Linked DNA regions of Arabidopsis thaliana. The protein of the gene in region 2 interacts with the protein of the main gene of each other region in a pairwise test. Each region holds a gene or a part of one and is shown on either strand. Other genes may lie near its edges.

Evidence for each region.
Region 1: the proteins of AT1G79220 (region 2) and MYB112 interact in a two-hybrid assay, tested with the Arabidopsis thaliana proteins (one large-scale study listed by BioGRID).
Region 3: the proteins of AT1G79220 (region 2) and AT5G52660 interact in a two-hybrid assay, tested with the Arabidopsis thaliana proteins (one large-scale study listed by BioGRID).

The regions. Positions count from the first base shown.
Region 1 is NC_003070.9:17,701,722-17,712,856, reverse strand, and holds MYB112 (myb domain protein 112), read left to right. Parts: upstream 1-6,396; 5' UTR 6,397-6,479; coding exon 6,480-6,672; intron 6,673-7,510; coding exon 7,511-7,640; intron 7,641-8,179; coding exon 8,180-8,588; 3' UTR 8,589-8,725; downstream 8,726-11,135. Other genes in the region: AT1G48010 (Plant invertase/pectin methylesterase inhibitor superfamily protein), read left to right, coding at 197-340, 974-1,366.
Region 2 is NC_003070.9:29,793,380-29,803,498, forward strand, and holds AT1G79220 (Mitochondrial transcription termination factor family protein), read left to right. Parts: upstream 1-5,471; 5' UTR 5,472-5,847; coding exon 5,848-7,047; 3' UTR 7,048-7,192; downstream 7,193-10,119. Other genes in the region: AT1G79190 (ARM repeat superfamily protein), read left to right, coding at 69-737; SCI1 (splicing regulatory glutamine/lysine-rich-like protein), read left to right, coding at 1,025-1,097, 1,270-1,380, 1,796-1,854, 2,096-2,332; AT1G79210 (N-terminal nucleophile aminohydrolases (Ntn hydrolases) superfamily protein), read right to left, coding at 2,907-2,955, 3,040-3,105, 3,192-3,254, 3,331-3,416, 3,516-3,585, 3,815-3,882, 4,050-4,125, 4,323-4,369 and 3 more; MST1 (mercaptopyruvate sulfurtransferase 1), read left to right, coding at 7,445-7,546, 7,910-8,095, 8,175-8,234, 8,378-8,440, 8,737-8,861, 8,969-9,131, 9,251-9,310, 9,559-9,617 and 3 more.
Region 3 is NC_003076.8:21,355,304-21,367,212, reverse strand, and holds AT5G52660 (Homeodomain-like superfamily protein), read left to right. Parts: upstream 1-4,939; 5' UTR 4,940-5,175; coding exon 5,176-5,441; intron 5,442-6,223; coding exon 6,224-6,281; intron 6,282-6,608; coding exon 6,609-6,732; intron 6,733-6,825; coding exon 6,826-6,993; intron 6,994-7,104; coding exon 7,105-7,212; intron 7,213-7,303; coding exon 7,304-7,413; intron 7,414-7,533; coding exon 7,534-7,593; intron 7,594-7,688; coding exon 7,689-7,790; 3' UTR 7,791-8,212; downstream 8,213-11,909. Other genes in the region: AT5G52680 (Copper transport protein family), read right to left, coding at 350-708, 822-900, 1,023-1,216, 1,316-1,394, 1,509-1,514; AT5G52670 (Copper transport protein family), read right to left, coding at 2,979-3,205, 3,304-3,382, 3,480-3,485; AT5G52655 (uncharacterized protein), read right to left, coding at 8,988-9,151, 9,240-9,321, 9,405-9,407; AT5G52650 (RNA binding Plectin/S10 domain-containing protein), read left to right, coding at 10,210-10,212, 10,327-10,375, 10,574-10,853, 10,948-11,080, 11,358-11,432. UniProt on the Arabidopsis thaliana protein: Probable transcription factor.

The DNA.
Region 1 (11,135 bases), about 12 Mb from region 2:
AACAAACATGTAAATTTCAAATTTATTTTAGATTTGAAAATAAATTCGAAATATTTTGTTTTGCTTTGTAACAGTAACATCTAAAATTTTAGTTTGGGTTATGTCTTTTGAGAAAAAAAATTATATTTTTAATTGATTTGATCAATATCTAAAATTGGAGTCATTAAGTTCACTATACATTATCTTGGTGGTAGAGATGTTTGGAATTGAAGGCGAAAGAGGTGGTATTGATAGAATTGAAAATGACAGCGTTGATAGAATTGATGGAGATGGTGCTAAAAAAGCGAGCACGGTAGTGAGAAGCGAGCATAAGACGACAATGATGATGGAGTTTTCAGCAGTAAGGGAAAGCAAGGGTAAAAACATCATTTGTCCCTCTCCGGAAATGCCAAATTTTGTAAAGACGGAAAGAAATACTCTTTTCAAAGATTGAGTCCAAAGTATGAGTAAAAGCTTTATTTGTACTTTCCAAGAATGCCCAATTTTATAAGGTGTGAAGATTAAAAAAGAGCTCACAAAAGGCCCAAACCAACAATAATCCCATTACTTTGCATATAACTTATTTTTTATAAAAATATATGCAGACTTTAAATGACATCTTTAATTTTTAAAATTAACTACCATATAGATTAGCCAAAAATAGAACAATATAAAAAAAATATTTGACATAATCTTATTAATTTGCATCATCTTATATTGAGAAGAAAAAATTCTATAAATCTACTAATTGAACCTATATAACTCTATCTCTCACACAAGAATTCCATCATTTGGGATTCTCTTCTTGAAACTAAAGATATATAAAATGGTTAGATACCCAAAAGACAACCTTTCTTTTTCTCTTCTAAAAGTGTTTGTTCTTCTTGTTTTATTTACAGTTATACAATTAAGCCTCGCAGTTACACAAAGTGAAGTCCATACTATTTGCTCATCTCCAACATCAAATCCTTTATTTTGCTACAAGTTTTTCAAGTTAGATCCTAAAATTGGAAAACTTGATCTTCCTGGCGTTGCCAAATGTTTGATTCATTATGCTCAACAAAATGCCTTAGATACACATAATCAGTTACAATTACTTGCTAATAGCACGACTGATAACCGTACCAAAGAATCTTACATCTCATGCTCAAAGTATTACGACAAGGCTCTTTACTCTTTTGATGAGGCCCTAAAAGATTTAAAGGTCAATAATCCTGATTATTTAAATATTGAGATTACAGCTGCTCGGCAAAATGCAAATGATTGCAAAACTTTGGATCTGAAAGATGTCTTCAAACCTGATCCAAAACTCATTATGAAGATAGATTTTCTTGAGAATGTATGTGGAATTCTTTTATCCATTTCTGATATATTACCAAAGTATTAGTAGAGATTGGAAACCAATAATATATTACCAACTACAGACCTAAAATATGTTTTATCGTTCTGTCGTGATATAATAATCTAAAATTAAATTAAATAGTGCATACTAAAATGATTGCTGAATTTTGATGTTAATTGGATATTTGATTAGCGGTTTGTTTTGCAGCTTGCATTACATGAACACAATGTTATTGACTCTCTATATATAGCATAATGACATTGACGTAACCACCATATCGTTAAAAAAAAAACGGTTTCATTTGGGTTGCTGCATAATTCCCCCTATACTAGTTGCATTTTTAGCTTTCATCCACGTATTTGTTGGGTCTAAAAGCCATCAAAAAACCTTATAACTACGTCTCCAATAAAACAACATGATTTTTCCAAGATATATATTAGGCATTTTTTCCAAAACAAACCGCACCAAATCTTACGGGTTGAAACTGGTCGTTAAGGTCTCATGAGGAACTATATTGGTATTTGATGTGTTTAAATTCTCTCAACTTTAAACTTTTTTAGTCTCCTCCGTTCATAGCTTGGTTCTCTGTGTTCTATCTTTCGATTGTAGCAACAGTCTTATCGAGAGCGATCGATTCTTATTTGAGTTTGATGTTCTCATCACTTCCACCATCGTCACCCATATACAAACTCCACCTACCATGCTTCTTCATCGCCACATCATTCCAACACCTGCAAATTTAAAAAACTTTGGGTTTGGGTAGGAGTGTCAAAATGGGTAACCCAACTCAACTCAACTCATAATCAAATGAGTTTAGGGTTAAATGAGTTATGGGTTGACCCAACTCATTTTGTTAAATGGGTTGGATCAACCCATAACTCATTTAATTTAATGGGTGAAATTGTTAAATGGGTTAACCCAATTAAATAATAATTTAATTAATTATTATTATAAAACAATAATAAATAATTATCATTATTAATAATTATTAATTCATTATTATCAAACTTAAAATATTTACAGATTCTACCGTTTACGGATTTACGTTTTTGGCGGGAAAATTACGGATTACATTGTTGGCGGGAAAATCACGGGTTTACGTTTTTGGCGAAAAAATTACAAGTTTACGTTTTTGGTGGAAAAATCACGGGTTTACGTTTTTGGCGGGAAAATCACGGGTTTTCGTTTTTGGCGGGAAAATCACGGGTTTTCGTTTTTGGCGGGAAAATAACGGGTTTACGTTTTTGGCGGGAAAATCACGGATTTTCGTTTTTGGCGGGAAAATCACGGGTTTTCGTTTTTGGCGGCAAAATCACGGGTTTTCGTTTTTGGCGGGAAAATTACATGTTTTTCGTTTTTGGCAGGAAAATCACGGGTTTACGTTTTTGGCGGGAAAATCACGGGTATTCGTTTTTGGCGGGAAAATTACATGTTTTTCGTTTTTGGCGGGAAAATCACGGGCTTACGTTTTTGGCGGGAAAATCACGGGTTTTTGTTTTTGGTGGGAAAATCATGGGGTTTCGTTTTTGGCGTGAAAATCACGGGTTTACGTTTTTTTCAGAAAAATCACGGATTTACGTTTTTGGCGGGAAAATCACGGGTTTATGTTTGTTGGTGGAAAAATTACGAGTTTACTTTTTCTCAATTCATCGCTTGTATATTTAAGAAATTTGGAAAAATATTAATTTTATTAGATTGGTTTAGATGTGTTGGTTAAACTTAAATTAGCATTGGTTTAGAGATTTTAGTTGGTTTAATTCAATTTTACAAATTTTGATGGGTTAATTAGGTAAATCATTGAAACCATTAACCATTACAATCCAACTCATTTACTCATCAAACCAATTGACCCGATAACTCATTTGACCCATCAACTCATTTGAGTCAAAAATTTTCAACTCATTAAGGTTCATGGGTTGAGTTGAGTTGAGTTGACCCATGAATTTTGACCCATTTTGACACTCCTAGATTTGGGTGTTAAAAATTTATTTATTACATTACAAAACTGGATATCTATTTAAATATATATATATAAAGTGCTAATTAAAAGATATATATTAAATGATCCGACATTATTGCTCTAGATTAAATAGAAACAAAATAAAATGCTTTGACATTGTAATGCAGTTGATGTTTCTTTTTTTTTGGCAACATAATTATGTTGTTATTGATTTAACGACCATGGAAAAATAATCACCTTATTGTCAAAAAAGAAATTACCTTACTATAGTACATAATTAAACAAGTTTGACCAAAAATCAATATGTTGATATTTACTTTCAAGTGTAGATATGGTTAAATGTGGTCCATATAAATCTCACAACAATTCTCATGTAACAAGAAACATAATCTTCATATTAAAATCATAAAATAAATTTGGTTGTTATGTAAAAACAATTATTTATTGGTTCTGTTAGTAATGCTTTTACTATAAAATTTCAGAAAGTAAGGTTAGTAATAATTCTTCATTCTGTTTTATGTTCTTTAAGTCGACTCCTAAAACTAAAAAACTTAATCTTCTTGGTGTAACAAAGTTTTTGATCAACTATGCGTCACGAAATTTCTTAAACATAAGCATGCAATTCAAATCACTCGTTAAAAGCACGACTGATCCTCATTCATAAAAAATTATACCGAATATTCAGAACTTTCTATTATTGCACTTACCAATTTTGATGCCGCCCTCAAAGCTTTGGCAACAAAGGACAATGTCACCTTAAATGTTAAGAGTCTCAGCAGCGATAACCGATGAAGACACATGTAAAGACGATTTGTCAAGTGTTATATCTAGTCCACAATTTTAAAAGAAGATTTCTAATATGAAAATCTGTCGGCCATAGTTTTGGTTATTTCTAAAATATTACCTAAACATAATAAAATATTATAAATCGATATATTGTTTTATGGATTAAAGAAAAAAAAAACAAATTTCCTTTTCATTATTTTGTCAAAACTGTATAACATGGCAAAAGGTATGGCAAAGAAAACTATCAAAAACGATAAAACCATGGCAAATACTCCACTAATAACATATCAATCATAGGTAATGCAATTTTGTTTTCTCTTTTTTTTTTAACTACGTATAATGGTGTTAAAACTTTTTTTGTTTTTTTTTTTTGGAAAACTTTTGACCTAGTGTAAAGTTTGGCAAAAATGGTTTGATCTAAAACTAGTTTCATCGAGATTTTACATTTTGTAGAACTCTGATTCGGCTTTAATGAGTTTATGGTTAGAGACATGGGTTAGGTTAAGCTTTACTCGATTTAGAGTTTTGAGGTTCGCTGCATCTTGCTTTCATGCTATCAAAGCATTTTTATATTGTTACATTCTCTTGAGTCTTTTTTTTGTTTTGTAATCCTTTTCTATTTCTAATTAAAAAAACTAAAATTTATAGCTAAAACCATTAAAAAAAAGTAACCAAGAGTTCCGAAACTAAAGAAAACCCAAAAAAGTTAGTAACTTCAAAAAATTTAACTAGTTTCTTTCATCAATCTGTATTTATATATGTTCTAACTTTTTTTATCAAAACCAAACCGAATCTAAACCGTAAGTCAAAATAAATTAAACCAAAATTGCATCAAATTGAAATCATGACTAAAAATTACTCCTTTTGTCCCTTTTTATTGATTTTCTAGAAACAATCACAGATTAAGTAAACATATTGATTTAATTTTTGTGATTTAATTTTTTAATAATTCTAAACTAATGATATTCAATTATTTGTCTTGAAGTTTAAAATTCATCAATAATAACTAATAAATAGTGCATAGAAACCTAAAAAATCAATCTTTTTGAAACAATTTTGTTTCTCTAAAAATCAATTAATAAAGAATAGGGGGAGTATTATTTTTGAAGTATACTTTAAAAAACACCTTTATTTTGATAAATATTAACAGAGAATGTCATTACTTATATTCATGTATTCAAATAACTTTACTATTAATTTTTATTATCCGTATAACCAAATCAATTGATTGTTTTTAACATTAACTATAAAATTTGAAATATACATATAATGTTCCAAAATTAGTAATACATATTAAAAGATTGTGTTAAGAATTAAAATAATGATTCGCAATCATCTTTGTTTGATTTTGTTTTCTATTTGTTTTGAATCATCATATAAAGTTAATAATAAACTATTTTCTACCTATATTCTGATTCAAAATTTTAGAATTAGACATATATATTACTTAAATAATAAAAAAGTGTGTTCAACGTCTCAATTTCACATGGGCTAAAATGTTTAGAAAATGATTAAGAGTCATGTTATAAATAAATCTAAATCTAAATAAACAAGAAGTTTAACTTAACAAGTATCTAAATTTAAAAGTTTGTATATGGTTTAATTCTGTTTTTAATTGAACTGTTTAATTTTACTGGATATAGTAAATTTTAAGCTTTGAAAGTTTTGAAATATTATAATTGATATATTTAAACTCAGTATAAAGTTTAAAATAAAATGAATATATATAAAAGTCTAAAATAACGCAGTACATGTTATATTTTGAGACTGGGTATATGAAAAATGAGTTTAAATCGACATTAAAAAAATTAAAAGTATCATTAACCGACATTATAATACGGTGAAATTCTCATTTTATTATTTGATTAACATCACTAATATTAAATATGTAGAATTACACTAATTTAGTTAAGATTATGTGAAAACAAAATTGTCCCGTGTTATATTGAGGGTTAAATTCTAGTTTGGTTTAATAAAAGGAAACCTGAATCAAAACTAAACAAAATTATATACTACAGAAAAAAGGGTTTGTTGCATCAACTAAATTATATCGATAAATAAATGATGTTAATTTAAATTACTTCTTCGGTTACTTTTACTTACTTGATAGCTTATCCAACTCTTAACTATAGCATGTGCTTAAGGAGAAACTAAGAACTCTTATACTATTACTTAGAAATTATTATTTTGCGAAAATTCCACTAATATCTTCGGGTAATAATTTATCTATTAACATGCCGATTTCAAATGCTTGGTATTTATTTATAATATATACAAAACAAAACAAAAAAAAATCTATAAAACCCACCCTGAAAACTCGATCACTTTATGTCCATTCCGAGAACTCTCTCCCTCATTAATTAAAATCTTTCTCAGAGCAATCTTCTCACAAGTTTCTAAGAATCTCAAAGCATGAATATAAGTAGAACAGAATTCGCAAACTGTAAAACCCTTATAAATCATAAAGAAGAAGTCGAAGAAGTCGAGAAAAAGATGGAAATAGAAATAAGGAGAGGTCCATGGACTGTGGAAGAAGACATGAAGCTCGTCAGTTACATTTCTCTTCACGGTGAAGGAAGATGGAACTCCCTCTCTCGTTCTGCTGGTAACTTCTTAAGCCTTTTGCATATATATATACAGAATATGTGATCATGCATGATATATAATATGTAATGCGTAAATCGATCGATTCAGATCAATTGAAGTCATCATAACAAATCCTTATATGCCCATATCATATCTCTAGAGTGATTGTTAAACTATCATTGATTTGAATGGTTAAAGTTTGGTATTGAAGGATTCTTTATATGTCAAACAAGTAGTCCGTTTTTGTTTTTTAAACATTTAGACTGAAACTTTTTTTTTTCTTATTAGAAATTCGTTTTGGATTTTGTGGATTTTAATATGATCATGTGAAGTTTAGTTTAGAGTTTATTTATAACTAACTGAAATTAAATGGAGTAGATATAAAAACTCGTCCACATCTTATCAATATGTTATTCAATTTCTATCACATCATATGTGAGTGATATACATATATGAATGTGATTTTTCGTAACTATGAGAATACTTTTCTTATGGCTGTGACTTCTCCATGTCGGCATAATTTAAATTCCTCTGTAGAATTGGTAAAGTAAGAAAGAACAAGTTGACATATTCATAGTTCATTATTATCATTAAAAGTGTACTTTCGTATGAAACAGTTTGGTCGGTCCAAATTTATTTATTTTTTCCTTTGGAGTTCTTTTCATATTAGCCTTTTGAGTGTGGAACTCAAACACCTTTCCCAACCATCCAATTCCATACAGCCTCATGGAATTGTTATCTTTATTGATTTGGGAAATTGTACTAGTGTCCATATACTATTGACTAGTGTACATTCCAGTTAATTCATGTTTTTATACTAATTGTATTTATATTGAAATCATTTACTATTGAGACAGGACTGAATAGAACGGGGAAAAGTTGCAGATTGCGGTGGCTAAATTATCTCCGGCCGGATATCCGCCGTGGAGACATATCCCTTCAAGAACAATTTATCATCCTTGAACTCCATTCTCGTTGGGGAAATCGGTATGAAACCTTTATTTATATCGACATAGACATAGTCATATTGTCGATACATTACTTAAAATAGAAAAAGGGACACATATCGTTGAAGAGAGCAAATTTGGAACGTCTCTATGAAATAAATAACTCGTTATTCAATATTGTATTAGTAGATAATTGACAAAATCAATTTGATGCGTATTTGAAATTTCTTGGTTGAATTGTGGTTACTATATGAAACTTGTATCATAGTTGAAATTAAGGTACACATCAACGTCTTTTTTTATCAGAGTAACACTAAAAAAACTGATTAATCTAGTACTACAATAGAACTTATAAATAATTAAACCCTCCGATTCATTATAAATAATATTTTTAGCAAGAGTCGGTTTTAACAAAAACAATTAATATACGTACAAAAAGTATATTAGAAATTTAATATATTTTTTGTATGTATAAATGATTCTAATAAAAAACGGAATGAGAGTTTAATTACGATGTTCTATAAAATTAATCGTGTTTTTAATAATGGAGTTAGTTTTGATATTTTTTCTATTGTGAAGGTGGTCAAAGATTGCTCAACATTTACCGGGAAGAACAGATAACGAGATAAAGAATTATTGGAGAACACGTGTTCAAAAGCATGCAAAACTTCTAAAATGTGACGTGAACAGCAAGCAATTCAAAGACACCATCAAACATCTCTGGATGCCTCGTCTCATCGAGAGAATCGCCGCCACTCAAAGTGTCCAATTTACCTCTAACCACTACTCGCCTGAGAACTCCAGCGTCGCCACCGCCACGTCATCAACGTCGTCGTCTGAGGCTGTGAGATCGAGTTTCTACGGTGGTGATCAGGTGGAATTTGGAACGTTGGATCATATGACAAATGGTGGTTATTGGTTCAACGGCGGAGATACGTTTGAAACTTTGTGTAGTTTTGACGAGCTCAACAAGTGGCTCATACAGTAGGCATTTCATGGGTTTATTAATGAATGTAATGTATAATAAACATAAACTAATCATTCAAAACAAAATTAAAGGTTTTCCGGGTTTTTTTCCATTTTTTTATTGGTTTAATTTTATTGTGATGTATGATTTTACAAAACAAAAAAAAAACTGCTTAATTAATAATATCAAAAACATATATATTGTTACACAGAAGCATGATTTAGATAAGACTATAAGAGCAAAGAAGAGAAAAACAACAACATGAGTTTAGCAAAAAGTTTATGTGGTTCCTGGTTCATTTAATAACTCCCATACGATCACTTATAATCTACCATATATGATCATCAATTAAGTTTTATAATATCACCGCATTATTAAAAACATTATGAGTATTTGATAACATATCCCAAAGAAATTCATTACATACTTATTTAACTAATGGGTTGAAATAGAGATTGATGCATGATGTGTATATGAAGTGAACATCAAATAATTATTTTACTCTAAATAAATTATTAATTTGGATTTGGCCCTCTCATCTAAACTCAGAGTTGAAGTGTTCATGAAATCTTGCATGCTCGAGACAATGAGACATATTGCTTAGAGCACTTAAAGATGGTATCAACTCTTAAAAATATGCAAGTAAAATTTCGTCGTCTCAAATATCATTTTTTAAAAATAAAAAAAAAACTTTAGTTACATACATGTTGAATTCTCTAAATCGGTTATGTAGTTTGTGGTGCTATTATTGTTTTGGAAATTTCTAGTTTGTAGGGCCTATATTTTCTTGTTTGGCTAACCAATAATATCGTTAGTTTCATTTAAAATCACATATTAATTTAGTTTGTATAATCATTAATAGTTTAACTAAAAGAAAAGGACGTGAATGATGTCTCCAATTCCTAATCATGATTAAGATACTATTAGTTACTCCAACTCATGTAACACTTTATCGAGATTATATACGTCCAGAGGGGACGAACCCAAATAAGTTACTCTAGTTAAACTTTTAAATAAATTATTTCTCAGTGTTTTTTTCCACTACGTCGAGTAAGGAGGATCACAGATTCACCCGAACCCTATTTTATAATCAAAGTATTAATTGTTTTATTTGTTAGAATATATTAAATTAATCATCGAACACGTCTATAGACTAAATGGAAACAATCCAAAAATATCAAACAATGCATGGTCGATTTTTATTCTAAACTTATCTTTTCAATATTCTCTTTATAAGAAAAAAGCAGAACAATAGTAATTGAATTGGAGTGAAAAAAGGAATGAATTGGCATTACAATTTTGTAAATGGAATACTGGCCTTTCACACACGAATATCTTTGCTTTGTTGGATTATAGAATCATTGATTTTGGCTTTGATAACTATATTATATATTGACGTTGATTGTTGTATGTTGATTGTTGAGAACAGATTGTTAATTTTAGATAATAATTTAGATATCTACGAGAAAAGATAAGGACACGTGTGAACATTTAACACGTGCGCTTGTTGCTTTTAGAAGGCCGGGAAAGAGAGAAGTGGCAATGGCGGCTGTAATGGGAATCCGAGAGAAGGTGGCGCATGAGAAGCAACCCGAAAGTGGTCCCAGTTCGACACATGTACGCTCCATCTGTCACGTGTCTTTTCTTTTTTATTTCTTTAGCATCCTCTAGAAAATAGGAGTATCTTTTTTTATAGTGGCTCTCGTTTCTTCGATTATTGGTTACTAACATCGATTTATCATTTATCCGGTTTCTGTTTTGGTAATTGACTGAAGTGGTGGACTTTGTCGATCCTCAAACTAAATTCATTTATATCGACTACTAACTAATTTGGTTTGCTACATCTGTTGTATATCTTTTCTGTGTCATTTTTTTAAGTGAAATTTAAGATTTTTACATACAAATTAAGAAAACATATCAATTTTTTGTCTAGTATTTTTCTTTATGTAAAACATAGCTAAGTAAAATAAATTCAACCAATAAAAAAACAGAATGCAAAATATAATGAGTAAAAAAAAATTGCATAGAAATTTATAATTATCACTTAACATGAAACAGAAGGAATCTTAAAACATTGCTTACAATGGTACCAAATGAATAAAAATTTACATCTTCTTCTTTTTTATTGCAAAGATAATCACTTCCTTATGTCATTATTATATGTATCCTCTCTATTTTCTTGTGTGCTTCTAGAGAGATTCCATAGGGAATGTTAGTGCAGAAAACAAGTATATGTTTTTTGGACTTTCATTTCAATAAAATTATTGCAGATAGATAAAGCGACAAAATTAAACACAAATAAAGTGATCACTCCATGATAGAGAACAATTTGATTTTGTATTAGTATAAACTTTTCTTCCTCATAATCCCTGTTTTAGGGACATAATTGCATCTTCGGGACCAACCATTGCGTTATAATCCACTAGGGCCTAGACTAATCGATCTCAAAACATTAGTAATAAAAATATCTAGAAAATAAAGTAACAAAACGAAAGTCTTTGCTTAGGAACTTGTTCTAATATAAAGTAGAAAAGGGAACCCTACATGCACTGATGCACGAGTTAATGG
Region 2 (10,119 bases):
TCTCTTTCTCCCTCTTCCGAATTTATCTCTAGATTAATGGATTATAAAACCTGCTGCATTTTCCACAGGCTGTACGGAGATGCTTAGTCGTGATAACCCGAATCATTCAAACATCCGGAGGAGATTTCTTCTCACGTCGTTTCCGCAATGATGGCCCAGACTTTTGGAAGCTTTTAACAACGTCTCCATTCCACATTATGACGCCTAAGATCCTCCGGGAAGACAACAAATCGGTTCTCCGACTTCCTTACAGAACCATTTCCGAGTCATCATCTTCTACGATTGCTGAAGTTTCCAGCTTGAAAGTGCAGGCAGCAGTTCTCGATATGATCGCCGAGATTTCCAGAGGTAAACGCAGTGCTTCAGCGTTAGATGCAGTCTTGAAAAAAGTTGCAGGATTGGTCGTGGGGATTGCGTACAGCAGTGTAACTGGCCTAAGAGAAGCGGCTTTGAATGCGTTGAGAGGACTTGCTTGCATTGATCCTGATCTCATTTGGATTCTCTTAGCTGATGTGTACTATTCTCTCAAGAAGAAAGATTTGCCTCTCCCACCGTCTCCGGAGTTTCCAGATATCTCTAATGTTTTGCCTTCTCGGCCGCCAGAAGATTCTCGTACAAAGTTTCTCTATGTAGAATACGGTGGTCGGAGCTATGGTTTTGAGTTGGAGTTTAGCTCCGTTGAGATAGTCTTTAAGAAAATGCAGTCTCTTGTCTTTGTAGACCAAATGCGTTGTTAATACTTTGCTTGTAGTAAATACTTTTCTGAAAACAGCAGTAAAAAAAAACTTGGTAATATAGTTCAAGTGTAACATTGAGCAAAAAGCTAGTAAAAAGGGATTATAATTGTATTGGGGTAAATAAAAACATTGGGGGCGAGATGCAAAATATAAAAGAGTAAGGGGTTTAAGTGTAATTTCGACATCGAGACCCGACCCGACCCGGGATTATGAATCCTGATCGCCGCGGGGTCCAAATAAATATATGTCAGCTCCTCCGTTCTTTTATTTTAGTCCGTCGGGAAATAATGGTAAGCGAACGGAGCTCCAAGGAGAAGAAGAGAAGCAGAGCTCGGAGCGAAGATTCTTCATCTTCCGATTGTATGTTCTTCTTCTTCTTCTCCTCTATGTATATACTTTTTCTTCCGATTCCCGAGAAATGCCATCAATTTATCTATCTGTGTTTTCGATTAGATTTTGTAGTTGGCGTTGAGAGTGTGACTTATTGTTGTGAATGACATAATCTGATACATAGTGATTTATGAATTGACAGACGAAGAGAAAGTTAAGAGGCATCGAGGAACAGAGAAAGATGATGAAAGGAGAAGTAGGAGAAGTGATAAGAAGGATAAGAAATCTCACAAGCACCACAAATCCAGTACATGTAAGATACTGTTTCTCATGTTTTGAGTTAGTAAATATTGTTCCATCCGTTTTAGAACCTTGATTATATGTTGAGTCAAGTTAAGTTTGTCGTATGATAAATTTGATGTGTTTGCTTCTTCATCTAGAGAGTGGTGTGTTTATAGTTATACCCATGTGAGCTGGAGTTTTCTTGTTCTTGTATGCCATTAACGGAGCATCAATTTAGCTTTGTCTTACCTATATTCTCCTAGAGAAGGAAGAGGTTGTAGTCGGAACCTGTTGGTTTGAGGGATTATAGGCAGCAAGAAATATCTTGTTTTGGTTACAGCTAAAGCAGCTATGTTTATCTTTCATCAGCATGACTTATATCATGTGTCTTTGCTTTTCAGTATGATCTGTTTTTCTTGCTGCTGACATTTTTTTTTCTCTTACAGCAAAGAAGTCCAAGGATGATAAGCCGAAAAAGAAACATACGGAAAGCGACCACAAGCTAGTGAGCTCTAACTTACCCTTTGAAATAGTTACCCATAAAAACATCTATTTGTATATTCACTTAAAAAGTCAAAAGTATATTGCTTTGGAGACTTTGTATGTGTGGTTCTTCGCTGGTCTCTTCAGTTGTTTAGTCATGGTTTAATTACAAAAGTCTTGTTGCCCTATTGTAATGTTTGACGGATTGTCATCCACACTGAGGTTCTGATTAAAATGCTTTTCTTTTCCGTTTTTTCTTCCAGAAAGAGGGAATTCCAGAGCTATCAATGGAAGACTACTTCTCGAAAAACAACGAGTTTGCTACATGGCTGAAAGAAGAAAAACGTACTTACTTTAATGATCTCACGACCGAAGCTGCACGAGGACTGTTCTCACGATTTGTCAAGAGATGGAACAGAGGAAAACTCGAGTCTCGATACTACGAGGGAATCTCCACTGCCCCACGAACAGCTCACGACTGGATGATCAAGCGTAGGTGAAAAAAAGCAAAAGCAATACCTTCCTCTTCTGTGGTTCGCCGGTTACCTCTCTTCTTGCTTCTTGTACACGTGAAGGTTGATTGCATCAGAGATATATTTCTATGTAGTTTCTCTACTTAGAACTTCTTGTTGCTGAACTAGTTAGATAGATTGTCGTGGAGAGATATGTAGTCGGTTTTCAGAGTAAGACAAACTTTACATATCCAAGGTCTTAACCAAAGTTGCCGAAGAACTATCTGATGAATCCTTATGTAACATTGAGAATTTGATATCCGGTTAAGGGAGAAATAGACCGTTTTGATTGAAAGTTGGTCTTGTACAGTATGTAAGTTCCTACTGGCATTTACAACACAGCGTATATGTAGCTTTGGCTAAGTAATTTGTGTGCATGAAACTTGGTTATATGAAACTGAATTTTCACAACAGACGTTTAAATGAGTGAAAAAACATATTCTAAATTATTGGGTCACGAGTCTCCTTAACAAATTCCAAAAGTTTTACAAAAGCAAGAACCATCAACTCTGAGAGTATACTGAGATTCAAATCAGGTTGGTTGCACGGTTAAGTGAAAGTTTTACTCGACTTCAGCCAAGTAATCATCGATTTCTGCTGGTGTTAGCACCCTGCATATAACATTCACTTTTCAGATATTGATGGGAATAACAAGATTTTTTGTTTATATTAGTTTTGTAGTCTTGAATGTTTACCTGAAAACTTTGTCAGTACCGATTTTGCCAATCTCGATGTTTTTGCTTGAGATTTCTCCCTCGAAACTGTGAAAAGACACGGAGGTTATAGGCTTTTGAGAAATTCTGAACTCTGGAAATAAAGTAAATTAAGTTTTGGTAAAAATGCTCACCCTTCCTTCAATGTCAATATTGCCGTGTGAATGGCATCATCAAGTTCCATATCTTCTGTGTACCTGATCAAAGACTAAGATGAAATGACATGCTTCCAAGATCATAAACTCATCACCACAAATGGTAAATTATTATCACCTCTTCTCAAGAAACGTCTTTGCATTCGAAACATTCTTTCCCATTGCAGAAGCTTTCCATGAGAAATAAGAGCCAGATGGATCCACCTAGTGGCCAATGAAAATTATGAAATAAGATGTTTTCAGTTTACGGGTTTTACTTCACTTTGAGCAGGATGGTTATATTTTCTTTAAAGTTCTACTTACTTGATACAGTTGTGGACCCTTGTCATCATACCCAGCCACCAGTAGAGAAACTCCAAACGGCCTAACACCACTATTAACAGCAGAAGGAGACAGAGATTAGAAGCAAGATTCAGTAGTCTAGTTTGCAAATACAGATTTGCATTAACAACATTATCTCACGCCAAATCAATATCAAAACTGAGCTAAAAAGTGCATAGAGAGACTCGCTCTAGAGTTGCAATCTCTGAGCCAATAACACTTTTGAACCCTGTTGAGCATATGAGAGGAAGTAATTACATAACACTCGATATAGTACTTACCCCGATTGAGTGAACTCTTGCATCACCGTGGCAGTTTCCCTTACAAGTTGAGTAACGGGGATGGGTTCCTGCAACAATAAACGCCCTTAGAAGTTGAATCAACAGAGCGATCTGGATTTATGAATAAGCAAGAACTTATATCAACTGGAATCATCAATCCAAAGTTTTTATCATACATGTACTACTAGACACTCCAGGAAAAGAAGACAAAAAAACAGAAGATATTAAAGATTACCTTGTACAGACGGAGATATTGCTCAGCCTGCTTCCTACTCTTTCGCACAAGAACTCGGAAATCAGGACCCATACCACTACATAAAAGGCAATACCAAAGTTAGCACTGAAATCATTAGGGTACTAAGGGAAAGGTTCCATCAGTAGCACTAGCACCTGATGAGAGAGACTAAGTACCCAAAACAAAATAAAAAATGTATGATAAATCCAATTTGCAAGCTATAAAACCAAATTCGCTATTAAAAAAGAAGTATGGATAGCTGAAGAGAAGAACCTGTAAACAGTTCCAATGTTGGGAGTCAAATGTTGAATCTTTTGAACCTGAAACAGACAATAGATAAACATTAGTTTCGTAGGAGTTACTGAAACTATGCAACCGAAAGGAAAGTAACACGAGCAGGCACAGAATGAAAAAGAACTAATTGCTATAAAGAGTTGATCAAACTTACAGACGCTTCATCAACCAATATAGAAGGAAGTTTCTTTTCAGTTGCAATGACAACTCCATTTGAAGCTGCATAAAGAAAACAACAGTCATGATTACCAAAGACAATGTTCCTTAAAAATCTCCTCTCGAATTTGATTAGATCATTGAAAAAACCTTTAATTCCAAGTGATGTTTGGCCTGATCCAACAGCTGTTAGGGCATGTTCTATCTGAACCAGCTTCCCTGATGGGCTGTTTCATAAACCACAACATGAATCAAACCCCGAAGAAACCGTTCCAAATGCTCAGAAAGAGATAACATTGATATGATAAACAAAGTTAATACCTGAAGGTGGTGAGAGAAAACGAGTACTGACTGTCCCCCATTGAAAACCAACTAAATCAAGCTGCAAAAAATGCGAAATAGTGTCATCTCTGGAAATTTAGAAACGTGGAAGCTAAATCTGTTCTTCATCAACAATGTTCAAACTTAAATGAAAAGAAACCACGTCTGAGCAAGTAAGTAGACTGAAGCGTTCAAATCTGACAAAGCTTAAAAACCCGGAAGAGTCTCATCGCCATGGGCAATGTGTAAGGAAAACGATGAAAAAGACAAGATATACCAACCCTAATTAAGAATTGTGAGTGAATCAAATCAAACACAAACTCAAACTCAAAGATCAGCTCTTAGCTCAAACTCAGAGACGAAAATTGAAAACTTTTCTTAAACCCCAAATTCAATATATTTAAAGTTATCAATTTAAATTCAACAAAAGAAACCCATTCAATCAAAGCAACATACCTTTGATATATGGATCGAACGGAATGGTCGCAAGAGAAGAGAGAGAGAAGAGACCCAAGTGAAGAATTTTTAAGCTCTCAAGGTTTCTTGCACAAAGGGTGAGAGTCTGACGCCAGAAAACGAGAGAAACAAAAAAACCAAAACGGCGGCGTTTTAACAACTTCACAGTTACTGTATCTTACATAATAGTCCAATATTTTATATCTCTTTTCAGTTTGAACCACATTATTTATTTACTACCCCTAGTCCCCTACTCTCTCTCGCTTCCACGCCCGACTCGGACTCAAACCTGGTCCGAATTGGCTGTGTCTCTCTCCATCGCCTCCTTCTTCTCTGACAAACTCTCCTCCGTTGGTCGGAGTTTGTTTCTTCGCTCGTTCATCACAAGCTTCGTGTACTGGTAATTGTTCCATTTTTTCTAGCTATTTCGGAAAATTGGATGGAAGAAGCATCTGAAATACGCGTGTAAATGTCGCTGATTGTGTCGTTGAGGCAGAGCCATTGTTGATTCTTAGAGAAAATTTGCTCCTTTATTTCTCCAGTTTGTTAAACTCTCGATTACGCCCTTGAAATGCATTCGACCGGGAAGAGAAATTTCTTAGCTGTTATCAGATTATTGTTTACTAGTTCGAGCTTGGTCAGAAAGGCTGGTTGTAGAAATCTCATTTCTGCTACCTTTACCACCAGGTGTTCGACGTTATGCCTGAATGAATCTGAAGAATGCATTGAGGATTCTGATCTATCGTCTAGGAGAAAAAAATTTGATTATGTTGGAGAAGTTGGTGAAAAAGAGAAAGTGAGAGATATTACTAGTAGTCCTTTACAAGTTTTACGAAGATGGGGTTGTGATGATGATGAAATATCCAAGCTTTTTACTCGTAGGCCTGCTTTGCAGAGAGCCAATGTTGCTCAGTTAGAGTTTAAGTTAAGCCTTCTTAAGCCACTGGGAATCACGTCTTCAGACCTTGTGAAGATTCTTAACTGTCGTCCTAGGTTCTTTAGTTGCCGTCTTGTCCTTGATGAAAGGATCAACTACTTCATGGAGATTTTGGGGTCAAAAGAGGTGTTGCGCAGAGTCATTATCCGGAATCCGTCACTCATGTTGTATGACCTCGATGACAAGATCAAACCCGCGATAGAATACTACAAAGGGTTGGGCTTTAGCCAACAGGATCTTGTCGCAATGTTGATATCGCGACCCACGTTGATTCCAAGAACAAACTTTAACAATGAGAAGTTTGAATACATTGAGAAAACTGGAGTCACCAGAGAATCCAAGATGTTTAAATATGTTGCAGTCATCATCGGGGTCTCGAGGATGGAGACAATCGAAGAGAAAGTTAGAAACTTGGAAAAGTTTGGGTTCTCGGAAGAAGAGATTTGGCACCTGTATGGAAAATGCCCAATCCTTCTCTCTCTCTCTGTTGAGAAAGTTCAGAGAAACATGACTTTCGTCATAGCCTCGATGAAACTTCCAGCTCATTCCGTGGTTAAGCACCCTTGTTTGCTTCTCCTCAACCTCGAGTCTCGTCTAAAACCTCGTGCGGATCTCGTTAAGAGAGTCTTGGAAATGCGTCTAAAGCCATTGATAAAAGAAGTGAGCATTTTCAGAGCGGTAAGGATGAGCGAGAAACGGTTCTTGAAGGTTTATGTAATGTGTCATCCACAAGATATTGCAACCGAGCTGATGGAGTTTTACGAGAAATCCAAAAACATGAAACGTTTAGCTGAGAAATCCAAGAAATACATCCGTAAAGGATTCCCCTTTTGAATCTCTTTTTCATCTTTTGTTTCTTTGGATATGTTCATTAAAGATGTAACATTGTGTAGAATTTTCCAGCTTTATCAATGGATACTTTTGAATCGGTTCATGTTTTGGTTTAGATCAGATTAGTTAAACCGGAATAGAAAAATATCAAAACACAAAACGCGAAGAAGCACGTTTGGTGAAACGAAACGCCAAAGACGCCCTAGACGTGTCTCTCTTCCAGACCCGTTCGTGGCGGCAGTGACAAAATCCTCTTTATTGATAAAAACGTTTGCAAAGTTGCAACCTTTTTGGGTTTAGTACTTGAAGAGAATCAATCTGACAGCAAATAGTTTTGGCGTCTTTCTAACTCAACCCATCATCTCTGTTGCATTTTATCGAGAGAATATTTGAGGTGGATATGGCCTCGACCCTTTTCTCCAGAACTTTCTTGGCTGCTAGTCACCGACTGATTACTCCTTCTCTTCCGCAAAAGATCTTTAATCCAGCCACCTTTCTCAGTGTAAGTCGATATCTGATTCGCGATCTGTTCTCAATTAGCCATTCGTTTGACCACTCGTTAGCTTCTGGGTTTGAGAGTGTCTGGATTGATTTCGAGCGTTTGGATTGTTTCTATGATTTGACAGTGGTTCTACTGGGTTTTCGAGCTTTTGAAATGTTGAATAGACTATAGAGAATTGCTTAATTGTTGATGAGGTCTATGTCAATCGATGCTTTTCTTATCAAAGTTTGAAATTGGACTTATGAGTTTTGTAATCATAAATTAGGTAGTGAAGTTTTATGTGAATTGCTCAGTTTCGCCTCTCTGTATATGATTCTGACTTTTTGGTTGGTCTTCCTCTTCTTGTGTTGGTAATTGCTGAAGAGGTCACTCCACTCTCAGTTAGGCTCCGCTTCTACAGCCTATAAATCAACTACTTGGGCTCGTCGAGCTATGGCTTCTACTGGAGTTGAGACAAAAGCCGGTTACTCCACATCATCCGTATCAACCAGTGAACCTGTTGTTTCTGTTGATTGGCTTCATGCTAATCTTAGAGAGCCTGATTTGAAGGTGACTGCCCTTTCTCCTAGTTCACTTCTTGGAGAATATGTCTGCCAAACTTAAACTTACCTGTTTGTATGCTGTTCAGATTTTGGATGCTTCATGGTATATGCCGGATGAGCAGAGAAATCCGATCCAAGAATATCAGGTGAGAGTATGAACAGATAGAATTTTGAGAACTTCTTTGTTTTCACAATTGTTCAGGTTGTATTCATTCTGGATGAGCGAAACCACACTTAGTACACTATTTGATGATACTGTCGGACATAAACTGTGTCCTCTCCTATATAGGTTGCTCATATTCCCCGCGCTCTCTTCTTTGATTTGGATGGAATATCAGATCGAAAAACTAGTGTAAGTATCGCCATCTTTTCTTTTACAGAAGATGTACCCCTGCAGTTTACTTTGAAGTTTTCACTTCACATTGATATCGCTTTTATGCATAAATGAAACCTTATCGATAGATATTATCTTCTTTTGCTGCCATTTTTAAGATAGTATGTAGCTTTTTCTTATGTGAGATAAAGTAATAAGTCTGGACTCTTTAATGTTAGTATATGTTATTATGTGTTTTCATTAAGACATCTCTTTGCCCCGATCTTAAGGGAATCATCTAAAGTATTGTATGATATATTAACTACTTGTAACAGTTGCCACATATGTTGCCCACTGAGGAAGCTTTTGCTGCTGGTTGTTCTGCTCTTGGAATTGATAACAAAGATGAAGTGGTTGTCTATGATGGAAAGGGGATCTTTAGTGCAGCCCGTGTATGGTGGTGAGTTCTGGTTCTTGTTTGTTCTTTTAATCCTTTTACTTTGTCCTGAGTCTTTTTTCGAGTATTGTTATAATTGATATGTGCTTCTTTATTTTCCCCTTAAATAGGATGTTCCGAGTTTTTGGACATGAAAAAGTTTGGGTGCTCGATGGAGGTCTACCAAGATGGCGTGCATCAGGTTATGATGTTGAATCTAGTGCATCAGGTGATGCTATTCTGAAAGCCAGTGCCGCAAGTGAGGCTATAGAGAAAATTTATCAAGGACAAACCGTAAGTCACTAATTTGGATAATAGTTCTCTGGTTCGTATTTCTGTAGATTCATGATGAGTTTTGAGCAGTAAAGATGTGTTTTTTCTTCATATAAATTTTCTCTCTCGTGGTTGCACAGGTCAGTCCGATAACCTTTCAGACTAAGTTCCAGCCACATCTAGTGTGGACACTTGATCAGGTTGGCATTTCCTGAATGGTTTTGTCTTCACATTATTGTTAACTATCATTCTCTGCTTAAGAATCTTTAATTTGGTCTATATTTATACCCGTTTTTCAGAATTGTGATTGTGATATATCAATTTTACTATAGCTCAGTATGTTGGTAGATTGATGTCTGTAGATGCCTGATTTTGAGTTTGCGCTTGTGTTACAATAACTTGTTCAGACTCTTATTTTAGGTCATGACTCTCTTTGGTGAATTCACAGGTCAAGAACAATATGGAGGATCCGACTTATCAACACATAGACGCTCGTTCCAAAGCCAGGTACTATAAATGCCGAGTTATTACTTGTTTTGACTAATGGATTTTTCTCTAGGCTCCTTCACACTAATTTGATACTCAGTGTAGCATTTTGATTATTTTACGGGGTTTTTCACAGGTTTGATGGTACTGCTCCAGAACCCCGTAAGGGAATAAGAAGCGGTCATATACCTGGAAGCAAATGTATCCCTTTTCCTCAGGTAAAAGCCACCCTAAGAGAATTTGCTTCCTTCCCACACTTCCTCTGCATCTAGTCCCCAGAGTTAATGTGATAAATTCCTTCTTTCTGCAGATGTTTGATTCTTGTAACACATTGTTACCAGCAGAGGAGCTGAAGAAACGATTTGACCAAGAAGGTAAACTATTTCATCTCGAAGAATAAGTTTCACAATCTTATTTATATAAAACATTTGTAAGATCTCAAGGCTTTTTGGTGCAGATATCTCACTGGACAAGCCTATTATGGCCTCGTGTGGGACTGGTGTAACAGCTTGCATCTTGGCAA
Region 3 (11,909 bases), on a different chromosome or scaffold from region 2:
CTAATACACGTTCATAGAAATCGGAAAAAGGTATTCTTAAACGCTATTTTTTAGATCACGGAGATTGTTTGTGAAAAGACGTTTTACAAACTAGCCAAAGGGAAATTATGTATTCCTTAAACGTTTTGATAATTGACAAATATTCATTATTCTAATGTGTGACTTTTGACAAATTTCAGAACTATTCAAATTAAATTTACTAAGTTTTAAAAGTTTTTCAATCTAGCCATTTTGTACATTCATATCTCATTCAATTTAACTTCGATTTTCAATTGTAAATAGGATATCTTATAATGTTCATTACAACAAATTAATTGACTCCTTTATCCAGTCATTCCAGTGACCGATTTCAACGATAAAGTCCACAGGAAATTGCTCGAAAGCACTTTTTCCAAATTGGTGTTTTATGCACATAAAGACGCATGTTCGCATAAGCAGCCACAGACGCAGGAACAGAAGGAGGCGCAGGGGCAGGTTTAGGCGTAGGGGCAGGCGCACGAACAGGTACAGGAGCAGGGACACGTGAAGTTTTTCTCGCATTGTTGATCTTAATATTTGTCACATCAACTTGTCCATCTGGTCCAGACTTGATGATAACGCTAACAGATTCATCTATTTCCTTTAGCTTCGTCGACATTGCGATTTTATTAAATTCTCCTCCCTTCACCTCTAGTTGATTATCTCTCTTCACCTCTACTGAAGTAATTCCTAACAACCAAAAAAACAATAGTGCTTTGTTTTAAAGACTAAATAGATGAAAAATTATGTATAACAGAATAACCAGCCATAATTAATAATACTATAGGTTTGTTTTGGTGTACCTGAAAACTCCCAAATAACTTCCATAGCATCAAGTTTCATTTTTTCATCAAGAACTTTAAACTTGAATACAACTACCTCCTGCAAAATAGCAGGTCATGATACAAGTAATAATTTTATTAAAATATACTATGAACCATTTGAAATTTAATTGCTCAAAAATAAGGGAATCTGAAAAATTTGTTCTAAACGATTAAACGAACCTGTATATTTGGAGTGGTAAAATAACTGTAGACTGAAGTTAAACTCGGAATGCGATATTGCCCCGTTTTTCCCATTTGGTTGATAATGTCAACAGAGTTATCTAGCTCATGAAGTTTGCTCCCCATTTGAATCTTATCATATTTTCCCTTCACCTTTAATATACCTTTTTCCTTGATGTCTACGAAAGTAACTCCTAACAACAACAAATATTATTGCTTTCAAGCTTAGATAGATTACTTATTGATTTATTTGGTTTCATTAATACTACAACCATAGATTTGTGTTGGTGTACCTGGCATCCAGACAATTTTCATAACTTCCCGTTTGATGTTTTCATCAGAAACATCCATCTTGAATTCAACTGTCTCCACCTGCATATTAACAGTTCATTGTATAATAATCAAAAACTATTTTAGAACCATTGAATTTTAGTTGCTTAAAAGTTAAAACTAATCTTAGAAACTGAAAAAAAAAAAAAAACGAACCTGCATATTTGGAATGTTTAAAAGATTGGACAGTGAAGTTATATGATTGTAACCACACAGATTGCACACTAGTAACCCTTTGCTTCCCCGTTTATTTATACAATGTTTTGTTTGTAACTAGTGCTCAATATAGTAATGATTAATTAGGTCCAACCATAAGAACTATAGTCAATTTTATACATCAAGACCAATACAAACAGTTTTGAGTCTCTTTGTATAATAAGAAAGGTAGAAAGTGAAACAAGTTAAGTCTTTTTTTTTTTTTTTTTTTTTTTTTTTCAAGTTAAGTCTTTCTAAATGAATATTATCAAAAAAAGGTTTTTCTAAATAATAGAATGGAAGTTGGCATGGTCTCTTACTTTAGTGGCTTCAACTAATACCGTGTTATAGTCAAATATACGATATTTTGTTTTTCGTTAATTCTGTAGTATAATTTAGAACAACTAGTACACTCAAGACGTAAAGAATATACGAAAGAGCCTTACAATTTCTTCGAAGCTAGGAAATACAATATCCTATGCATAAAACATATTGTATAAAGGAAAACATTTATGGGAGGTGCAAAAGGAAATCAAAGAAATTTCATAAATATTGTTCCTAAATCTTTATGAATTTCTTGATACCCCATGTATTGATTAACAAACTATTTCCCAATACATGTACAATTTCATCGTTTTTATTATTCAGATATTCGTCAATGCAATGGTTTTAAATCTATTTAAGACGAGTTTTTTTGAAGTACTAATTGATGGAGATCTTTGGTGAATCACAAACTCACAATCATTCTCTATGGATTTCCATGAATTTACTAACAATTAACGCTGATGAATATGATGAAAAAGTATATAAGTTATGATGATCCAAATGTAACAGAAAGGTTAGTATATAGCTTTAACTAATCTTCTAAACTTTATTTTTATTATTTAAGAAAACCGACAGAATTACAGGGCTTAATGAATTTTATTGCATGTGCCAAAAAACATAAATACCTATTATAAAGAAACACTTGTGATATAATAACACGATTATTGACGATATAATATAAACGAATTACTTGGAATAAGTGTGGAACGAAGTTGAATGATAACAATAATCTATCAAACGTTGACTATCTTTTCTGACACTTCGGCCAGCATTAGTTTGAGCATCTAGTTGCTGGTGATAAGAATTAAGTGTTGCTTATGAAAAGCGATCAATGAGACTCTTTTACTTCTTCTTTTTTTTTGGACACAACAATGAGACTCTATTACTTAACTTAGACAATTTAGATGAAAATTTTGTTTTTGTTGTTTTCAATTGGATGATCAGAACTTAATAATGTTAACAAAAGACATATAACGCCAATATGAATATAAGAGCCACATAATTATTACAAATAACGGGCAAACAATTTTTTCAGAAAAAATGAGATGAAATATCATCAGAATACAGTAGTCCATGGAAAATAAACCGATCACGTCTTCAAATTGATCACTTAAAGAAACCCAAATTCCAACCACGGTAAGATGGTGCTTTCTTCACTTTAGGTTCAGGCTTTTTAACCAGCTTCTGATTTTGTGCCGGTTCTCCATCCGGCCCAACCGCGATAATGTCAACAAATTCATACACCTTCTTAAGTTTCTTCGTCATTTCAAACTTATCAAATTCTCCATTCACCTTTAGTTTACCTTTTTCCTTCACGTCTATCAAAGTAACTCCTACAACAACAAACATTATTGCTTAATTTGTATTAAGCCTAAATAGATTCAATTACTTATATTATATATAGACATTGTTTGTACATATTATAATATACCTGGAAAGTCACATACAACTTTCATAGCTCTTCGTTTGATTCTTTCCTCAAAAACTTCCAACTTGAATACAACTTTCTCCTGCAAAGATTTAGATTTGAAGCTTTAGACAGTTCATTGTGTATAAGTAGTACCTTTAGTTTTCTAAGATTTTAAGTAACTAAAAGAAAAGACATACCGGCATTTTCGGAAAGTATAGAAAGTTTGATGATTGAGGAGATATGATGTAAAGGAATATGAAATCAACCTCGTAGCTTGCTCATTAACCTTTGTTTCGCCCCATATATATACACGATATCCTTTGCTTGAATTAGCGAATATGAAATGGTTAAGTCAAGCCATCCAAGCAAGAAACTGAAATAGTCAATTTGATACGCTTAAATGAAGATGATTAATAAAACAGGTTTGAGTCTTTCTATATAATAGATTGTTAGAATGTGTTGTTGCGCCTCTTTTGTTTAGTACTTTAGTAGCTTCAACTAATACCGTGTCATAACTCATAATTATGCATATGTAAGATCTTTTGTCTTTTATCATCTCGTCGATATAAGATAATAAGAGCGATTAAATCAACCCTATATAATAATAACAATATAAGTTTTCTATTTCGTTTCGTTTAATGAAAATATGAATAAAATTGGGATAAGTTTGTATCGCCTTTTTTTCTTTTTCACAATAAGTTTGTATCCCCTAATTTAATCATTTAAATCATATTATCTACGGCTGCTATCATGTTTACAAATGTTCTTTGTATTAATAAATAGAGATGTTGTTGATACGTAAATTTCAGCTTCAGATTTTTAATAAAATTATACATTCCTTAATAAAAATGTGTGAAAGCATGAGGAACCACACAACTCCCAAACCACACGACATTATCGTCATTTACTTGGGCTCATACGAAGCGTTACAGTATTAGTAAACGCCATAATTTAGGAAATTTTCAGTATAGTTATACAAATCTATACTATAACTTTTGGTACTGCGCTTTAGCCAATGTCATTAATTCAGTTACGTAACAGACTCCAACGCCAAAACATTAGTATAAACAATATTAAGAACGTGGCATTACCAACAATCCAACAAAGATGTTCTCACATCGAAACCAATTAGAAACCTAAAAGATATAGTGAAGGTTGATCTCTTTCTTTAACATGCCACATTTTTGCATTTCTTCCTTTATTTGCGAGGTTAAAATATGTTCATTTGTTAAAGAAATTTATAAACCAATGTAAACCATCCATTTAAATTCTCATTCACAAATCAATCGTTCTAATCGAAGGATGCCAAGAAAAAAAGCATTGTTGTCTTGTTGATTGGGCTAAACATTAAGACAAAAACAGTGGCATCACCAAGTTTTTTTTTGACATATCGATGTTTCATAATGGGCTAAATATATAACCCATTTGCCCATTAGTTTTTTTTTTTTTGACGGGCAAGTTGCCCATTAGCTAAAAAGGCTCCACAAAACATAAAATTTGGACAATTAGAAAACCTTTACCTAAACTACAAAACAATCCTAAATTCAACCAAAAAGAAAAGACCCTTTTTTGGTATAAACGGATACAAAACATAAATGGAAAAATCTTTATTATAAAGATCCAAATACGTGGCACGTTATATTAGGTCACAAGAACTATTTTGCCGACCTCAAAAACGATCACAAGAATAAGTTTCTTTCATCGAGAAACACAACATATACACAAAAAAACTATAGCTTATAAATTTATTAATATTTTAATAAAATCTCTGCCGTCTTCTTCTTTCTCATAAGCCACATTTCTTCTCTCTTTCTCTCCTACACAACACAGCTTTTTAAACCCAACAGAGCAAAAAAGCAAAAGATTCAACAAAAATCTCCTCAAATTCTATTCATGGTCTCTAGAAATTCTGACGGATATTTCTTGGATCCGACCGGTATGACTGTTCCTGGTCTCGGACCTTCCTTTACAGCCGCCGTTTCTTCTTCTTCTTCACCAACGACTTCTTCTACGGCCGTGGCTGTGGCGGATGTGACGGCGATGGTTTCTTCTTCGGAGGAGGATTTGAGTAAGAAGATTAGGAAGCCTTATACTATTACTAAGTCTAGAGAGAGCTGGACGGAGCCTGAGCATGATAAATTCCTTGAAGCTCTTCAATTGTGAGTTTTGTTCATTTTGTGCTTTACCATTTCTCGTTAATGGCTATTTGGAGATTTGATTTGGGAAGAATTAGCATCAATTTTGGTTGATTAGGGTTTGTGGTGGACTTTATAGAATCATGTGAATATGCGTGGAGTTTCGATTAGGATAATGTGCAACTTTATGTTTCAGTAGGTTTCTGAATTGTACTGTGTTGAACCAGTGGAATTAGATTGGATTTGGGACATAGAATTGGAATCGAGAGTTGGATTTAGGCAGATGGATTTGGCTATGTATGCACATTTTGTTGAATTAGGCGTCTGATAAGAATTGAGAAGATCAGGATGTCGAAAAATGAGTATAGACTGTATTGAATTTGTGTAGTAGCTATTGAAATTGGATGAGCTAAATGTTCTTCTAAGACCTGTATGATCATTGATAGTGAAGAACGAAACAGGCAAGAAATTGAGCTGAGATTATGAGGAAATAGCGACGCAAACTATATGTATCTTAGTAAAAAGAGGATTTAGTGAAAACTATTAGAGCTGCGTTTTTTTTTTTTTTGGTTACAATAGTGTCTATAAACACTGGTAAGTGAGTAATTGTAGTACTAAGGTTGGTATGTAGTGGGAAAGTCCTTGGGGTAGGTTCTAGGGGAGGCGATGATGATTGTACTGTTCATTGCTTATTCTTCTGTGTATTGTGATGCGTACAATCTTAGGCAAGGATTAGACACATGCTATATCCAGGTTGTTTGGTGGTGGATCTGATATCTCTTATGTTTGTGTTTTGATTATTTTAGGTTTGATAGAGACTGGAAGAAGATTGAAGCTTTTATTGGTTCAAAGACAGTGATTCAGGTACAGTAAAAAGTAGATATATCTTCTGAGTTACTCTGTTTTTCGCCTACTCTAGTTGTTTGATTCTGTCATCTTTCTCTTGGGCCCTCAGTGTTACTTTGGATTGAGGTTGTTTTCTCTCATTTGATATCTCCACAAAGTGTTCTGTTAAAACATCTTTATTGTCTGTAACTGTTTTGAACTACTACTACTAGGAGAAAGAATGTCACATGCGTTTGTCGCTTATCACCACTTAATGAAGTGTTATATGTAGTTATTTTTGCATTAGACAAGTGAGCTCGTTGAGCTCTTTTATGGCTTCTTATACGGACTCCTTTAATACTGCAGATACGAAGTCATGCTCAGAAGTATTTTCTTAAGGTACAAAAGAGTGGGACCGGTGAACATCTCCCTCCTCCTCGACCTAAAAGGAAAGCCGCTCATCCATATCCTCAGAAGGCTCACAAGAATGGTACGTTATAGCTACTGCTTTAAAAACTTTGAAGTTGTATTGTTGTTTGCTTACTGAAAACTATATTGATGCACTGTTTATGGCAATGTGCAGTGCAACTGCAAGTACCAGGGTCATTCAAGTCAACATCTGAACCAAATGACCCAAGTTTTATGTTTAGGCCTGAGTCTTCTTCAATGCTGATGACTTCGCCAACCACTGCTGCTGCGGCTCCATGGACAAATAATGCGCAAACAATTAGCTTCACTCCCCTCCCAAAAGGTTCTATTCTCATTTACAAGCATTATGCAATTACTGTTACTCTCTTAATATAATCTCTGTTTCAAATTTTACTAAATGAAGCATATTGTTGTTCCACGTTGATGGAAACAGCAGGAGCAGGAGCTAATAACAATTGTTCTAGTAGTTCTGAAAATACTCCAAGACCACGATCCAACAGGGACGCAAGAGACCATGGAAATGTTGGCCATTCATTAAGAGGTAAGCATCGTTACATCGTCTCCTGTTAATCTTTTTGTTTGTACCATATTTACCATTTCTTACTAGACAGTTCCGCCTTTTTTTTTTTCAGTTTTACCGGACTTTGCCCAAGTATACGGCTTCATTGGAAGTGTGTTTGACCCATATGCAAGTAATCATCTACAAAAGCTGAAGAAGATGGACCCCATAGATGTTGAAACAGTACGTTTCTTGTCTTTTCAGTTTTCACTTTTACATCAATCTTAATTGAAACCACGTCGGTCCAATGGAACAAATGGTTAAACTAATCATTTTTTTCCTTTGTTTGCCCCCACCAAACAGGTGTTACTATTGATGAGAAATCTATCCATCAACTTGTCTAGTCCTGACTTTGAGGATCATGTAAGTATTTTACTCCACAAACTACTAGTCAATTTTAACTCGAAACCCTATACCAGAACTAACCTCAAGACTCTTATTGATTTCAAAAACAATAGAGACGGCTTCTTTCGTCTTATGATATCGGATCTGAGACAGCAACTGATCATGGTGGAGTGAATAAAACCTTAAACAAAGACCCACCTGAAATCTCTACTTAATGTTTAATAGAAGAGGAGAACTGTGAAAAGTGTCTCAGGTGAGCCAGCCAACAACCAGATGGCTACAAAATACAGAGATTCTGTTGTGGTTTTTTGTTTGTACATAGGAAGAAGATGAAGCTGATGTTACTCGGTTTAGTTGTTGTTACTGTTATAAATAGTCTGTTGGGTTAAGGATGGTATATGTACAGTGTATTATCATAAGTTAGATCTCAAGTTTAAACATATGTATCAGTCTCTTTGATGGGAGACCAAAATCTCTTAATAGAGTTGTCTTTGCTTTCGTTTTCATTCGTTTATAGAGGAAGAAATAAGGTGACTGTGACCATTTGTATAACAATATGGATAAACTATTTTTAGTGGCATACTCTCGACTATAAGAAAAGATGCATCCAAGGAATATCAAATCTTCTTGATCAAAAGGTTATAACTTATAAAGAATGGACTAATATATATTTTAATTTGATCATATCTTAAGACTTACACCAAATCCAATTATTTTTTTTATAGAATATGAAAACATAAATAAACATCATTACTTGCCTCAGAAAAATAAAAGTAAAAAATAAAAATAAACATCATTATTAGAGATCATAAAAAAAATAATTTGCAGGGTATTCAGTGTGATCAATGATTTCGACAGATTTCAAGATCAATAATTTGTAGTTGGCTTCATTTGTTTGTAAACACATTTTGGAGGTGGTGATAAAACACATTCTTAGTGATGAAATAGATAAATACATTTCTAAATAGATGTAAATCAAATGATGGTTTGACTGGTTTGCATATAAAACATTTTCTAGAAGAAGTTATTAATCATATTTTAAACAAGAATTGTAATCATATACCATTCCCTCTCTCAAATTTGTTTTGAGCTTTTGTTAAAGTATGTATCTGTCTCTTTGATGGGAGACCAAATCAAATCTCATAATAGCGTTGTATGCTTTCGTTTTAATTCGTTTATAGAGGAAGAAATAAGGTGACAGTGTAGACCAATATGGTTAAGCTATTTTTAGTGGCATACTCTCGACTATGCATCCAAGGAAAATCAATCTTCTTGAACAAAAAGTTTATAACTTACAACTTATAAGAATGGACTAATATATCTTAAGACTTACACCAAATCCAATTACTTTGATAGAATATGAAAACATAAATGAACATCATTATTTGCCCAAAGAAAAATAAACATCATTATTAGAAATCATAGAAAAAATAATCCGGAGGGTATTTGGTGTGATCAATGATTTCGACAGATTTTAAAACCTTTTTTATTTTCTCCAGTAACTTATCTTGATCAATATTTTCTCCCTTCACTGCAAATACGTCGTCCATGATACCACAACTTATGACATCAACTCCTAATATAATAATAAAAAGATGACAATCATTCACATTGTTCAAAATTCGTTTGTTGAATATAATTGTTGGGTGTGTGTAGGTTTGTACCTGGAAAACCACCTGCAATTTTGAATCCTTTTCGCCATTTTTTTTCGGGATATCCTGGATGCTTGAATACAATCGTCATCGACTACAAACAATGAAATAAAACTAAAGCTTTAGTGAATTTATTATATAACCACATAAATAGGTTTACTAAGAAAAATAACTAACCATTTTTTGAAAAACTCAAAAGTTTGGAAGGAGAAGAGAAGATGATGGACAAGAATGTGATTACAAACTCGCTTGCTCATCAACCTCTATATATATTACTGAAAATTGATTTTTTTTGTTAAATAATCTATAAAAGTACATTTATCTCTCAATTTCACAATCTCTTTCGACATATGTCACAATTTCTCATAACAAATTTTTGACACAAAAATAGATTTATCTTCTTTTTTTTTTTGTTGAAACAACACAAAAATACATTTATCTCTCAAAGATTTTTTTGTTACAATATGGAGCAAATAAATTAATTAAACTGGAAATTATTTTAACAAGATAATATATGTAATTAATAAAAATATATGTTAATTTATAGAATTAACTAATCTGATAAAAATATATAAAGTAATCAAAGTTATAGTAAAAAAAAAAAAAAAATCAAAGTTATAGTAAATAATATTTAAACGTATGTCACAAAATTTACAAGATATAAACTTTTCAAAAAAGAGAGGATAAACCATCGTAAATATAAATACAACGAGTGTAAGTATTGGTTAATAAAATATTAAATATAGTTATCATCAAATAATTTGATAAACCCCCAATTCTTAATTCAATTCGACAAGATCATTTTGAGTTTCTCAGTCTCCGATACTGCCCAAACTTAAGGCCCATATTTAATGAACTCATTATAGGCCCAAAACAAAGCATATAAAGTCATCGTCTTCTCTAGTCCTGCGAAAACCCTAGTTTTTTGCTCTCTCGAAGTTCCGTGCGACTCTCTGCTCGAGCAAGATCTCCTACCGATACAATGGTAACACACAAGCTCTGCTTTTGATCTATTTCTCTATTCTCATCATATTCTCCGGTGTCTCAGAATGTTGTTTCGTTGAATTTTGACCATTTTCTTCTTCCTTCTTGCTCTCAGATTATCTCAGAGGCTAACCGCAAAGAAATCTGCAAGTACCTCTTCAAAGGTTCGTTCTTCTTAAATTTGTTCTTAGATCTCTGTTTTCTTCAGCTTCTGTGAGTAAATTGATTCATTTTTAGGCTTATGCCGATGAACATTGTGATTTTTGAACTAGTTTAGGTTAACTAGTTATGGTAGCAATTATGATGTTTGGCTTAGAAGGTGAACATTGTGTTGATTATCATATGTTCTATGATTTTTGCAGAAGGAGTTTGCTTTGCGAAGAAGGATTTCAATCTTGCTAAGCATCCGTTGATCGATGTCCCCAACCTACAAGTGATTAAGCTTATGCAGAGTTTCAAATCCAAGGAGTATGTTAGGGAGACATTTGCCTGGATGCATTACTATTGGTTTTTGACCAATGAAGGGATCGAGTTCTTGAGAACTTATCTTAATCTTCCATCTGATGTTGTTCCTGCTACTTTGAAGAAGTCAGCTAAGCCTGGTGGTCGTCCATTTGGTGGCCCACCTGGTGATCGCTCAAGGTGATTAACTCTTTGCTTAACCCATTTCATGTCTGGCAAAAACTTTTTTTTTTTTTAATTTGTTTGACATGGTTTGGGTTTCTTTGTATTTCAGAGGACCTCGCCATGAAGGAGGAGACCGTCCCAGGTTTGGTGACCGTGATGGGTACCGTGCAGGTCCTCGAGCTGGTGGTGAGTTTGGAGGTGAAAAGGGTGGAGCTCCCGCAGATTACCAGCCATCTTTCCAAGTAAATTCTCACTGACCATACCTTCTATTTACTTCTCTATCTCACCAACGTCATATAATGTGCTACTCTTGAAGTCTTTATCATAGAGCTCCTGAACCTGAGAAACCATGAACATATTTAGTCTCTCTTTATCACTTTAGTTACAAGGAACATAAATCTTTTACTTTAGCTGTGAAGTGTTTCAAAGTCTATAGTTATATAATTGCCTTGTGATTTGATTTACCCGCCTTCTCTTTGTTTGGTTGCCATTGTTCTAACATCCTTTCTTGTTTATCAGGGAAGTGGCCGTGGTTTTGGCCGTGGTGCTGGTGGCTACAGCGCAGCTGCACCATCTGGTTCAGGTTTGCCTTGAAAAAGAAATGTCTTTAGGTGACAGTAAGACCATGGAGGAGTTTTCAGCTTTAAATTTTGCTTTTGTAATTCAGATTCCGGAATCCTTCATAATCTCTATCTGAGTTTAGTTTTGTTGTTGAATCAAACATCCGATTTAAAGTTATGTTCATTCCATCTTCTCTCCCCTTTTCGAGCATGCGAGAATATGATTCCCCCTATTGAACAAATCAATCAACCTTTAAGCGATAACAAATTGGTGTTGTGAAAATTATTAACTTCTTGATCTCGTTTTGTCAGATCTAAAATTACTATAGCCAAGCTACCTTTCACGTCAAGTTGTCACTCCTATCTATTCCAGTGATCTTAGGAAGTCTATCTTTTGGAAGTCAAGTTTTACTCTAGGGAACCAAAAGATTTGTTCAGAAACAAGAAAAGTTCCTTAGCTGAATAACAAAAACTTGAATCAGTATTAGACAGACCCACCACACGATATAAC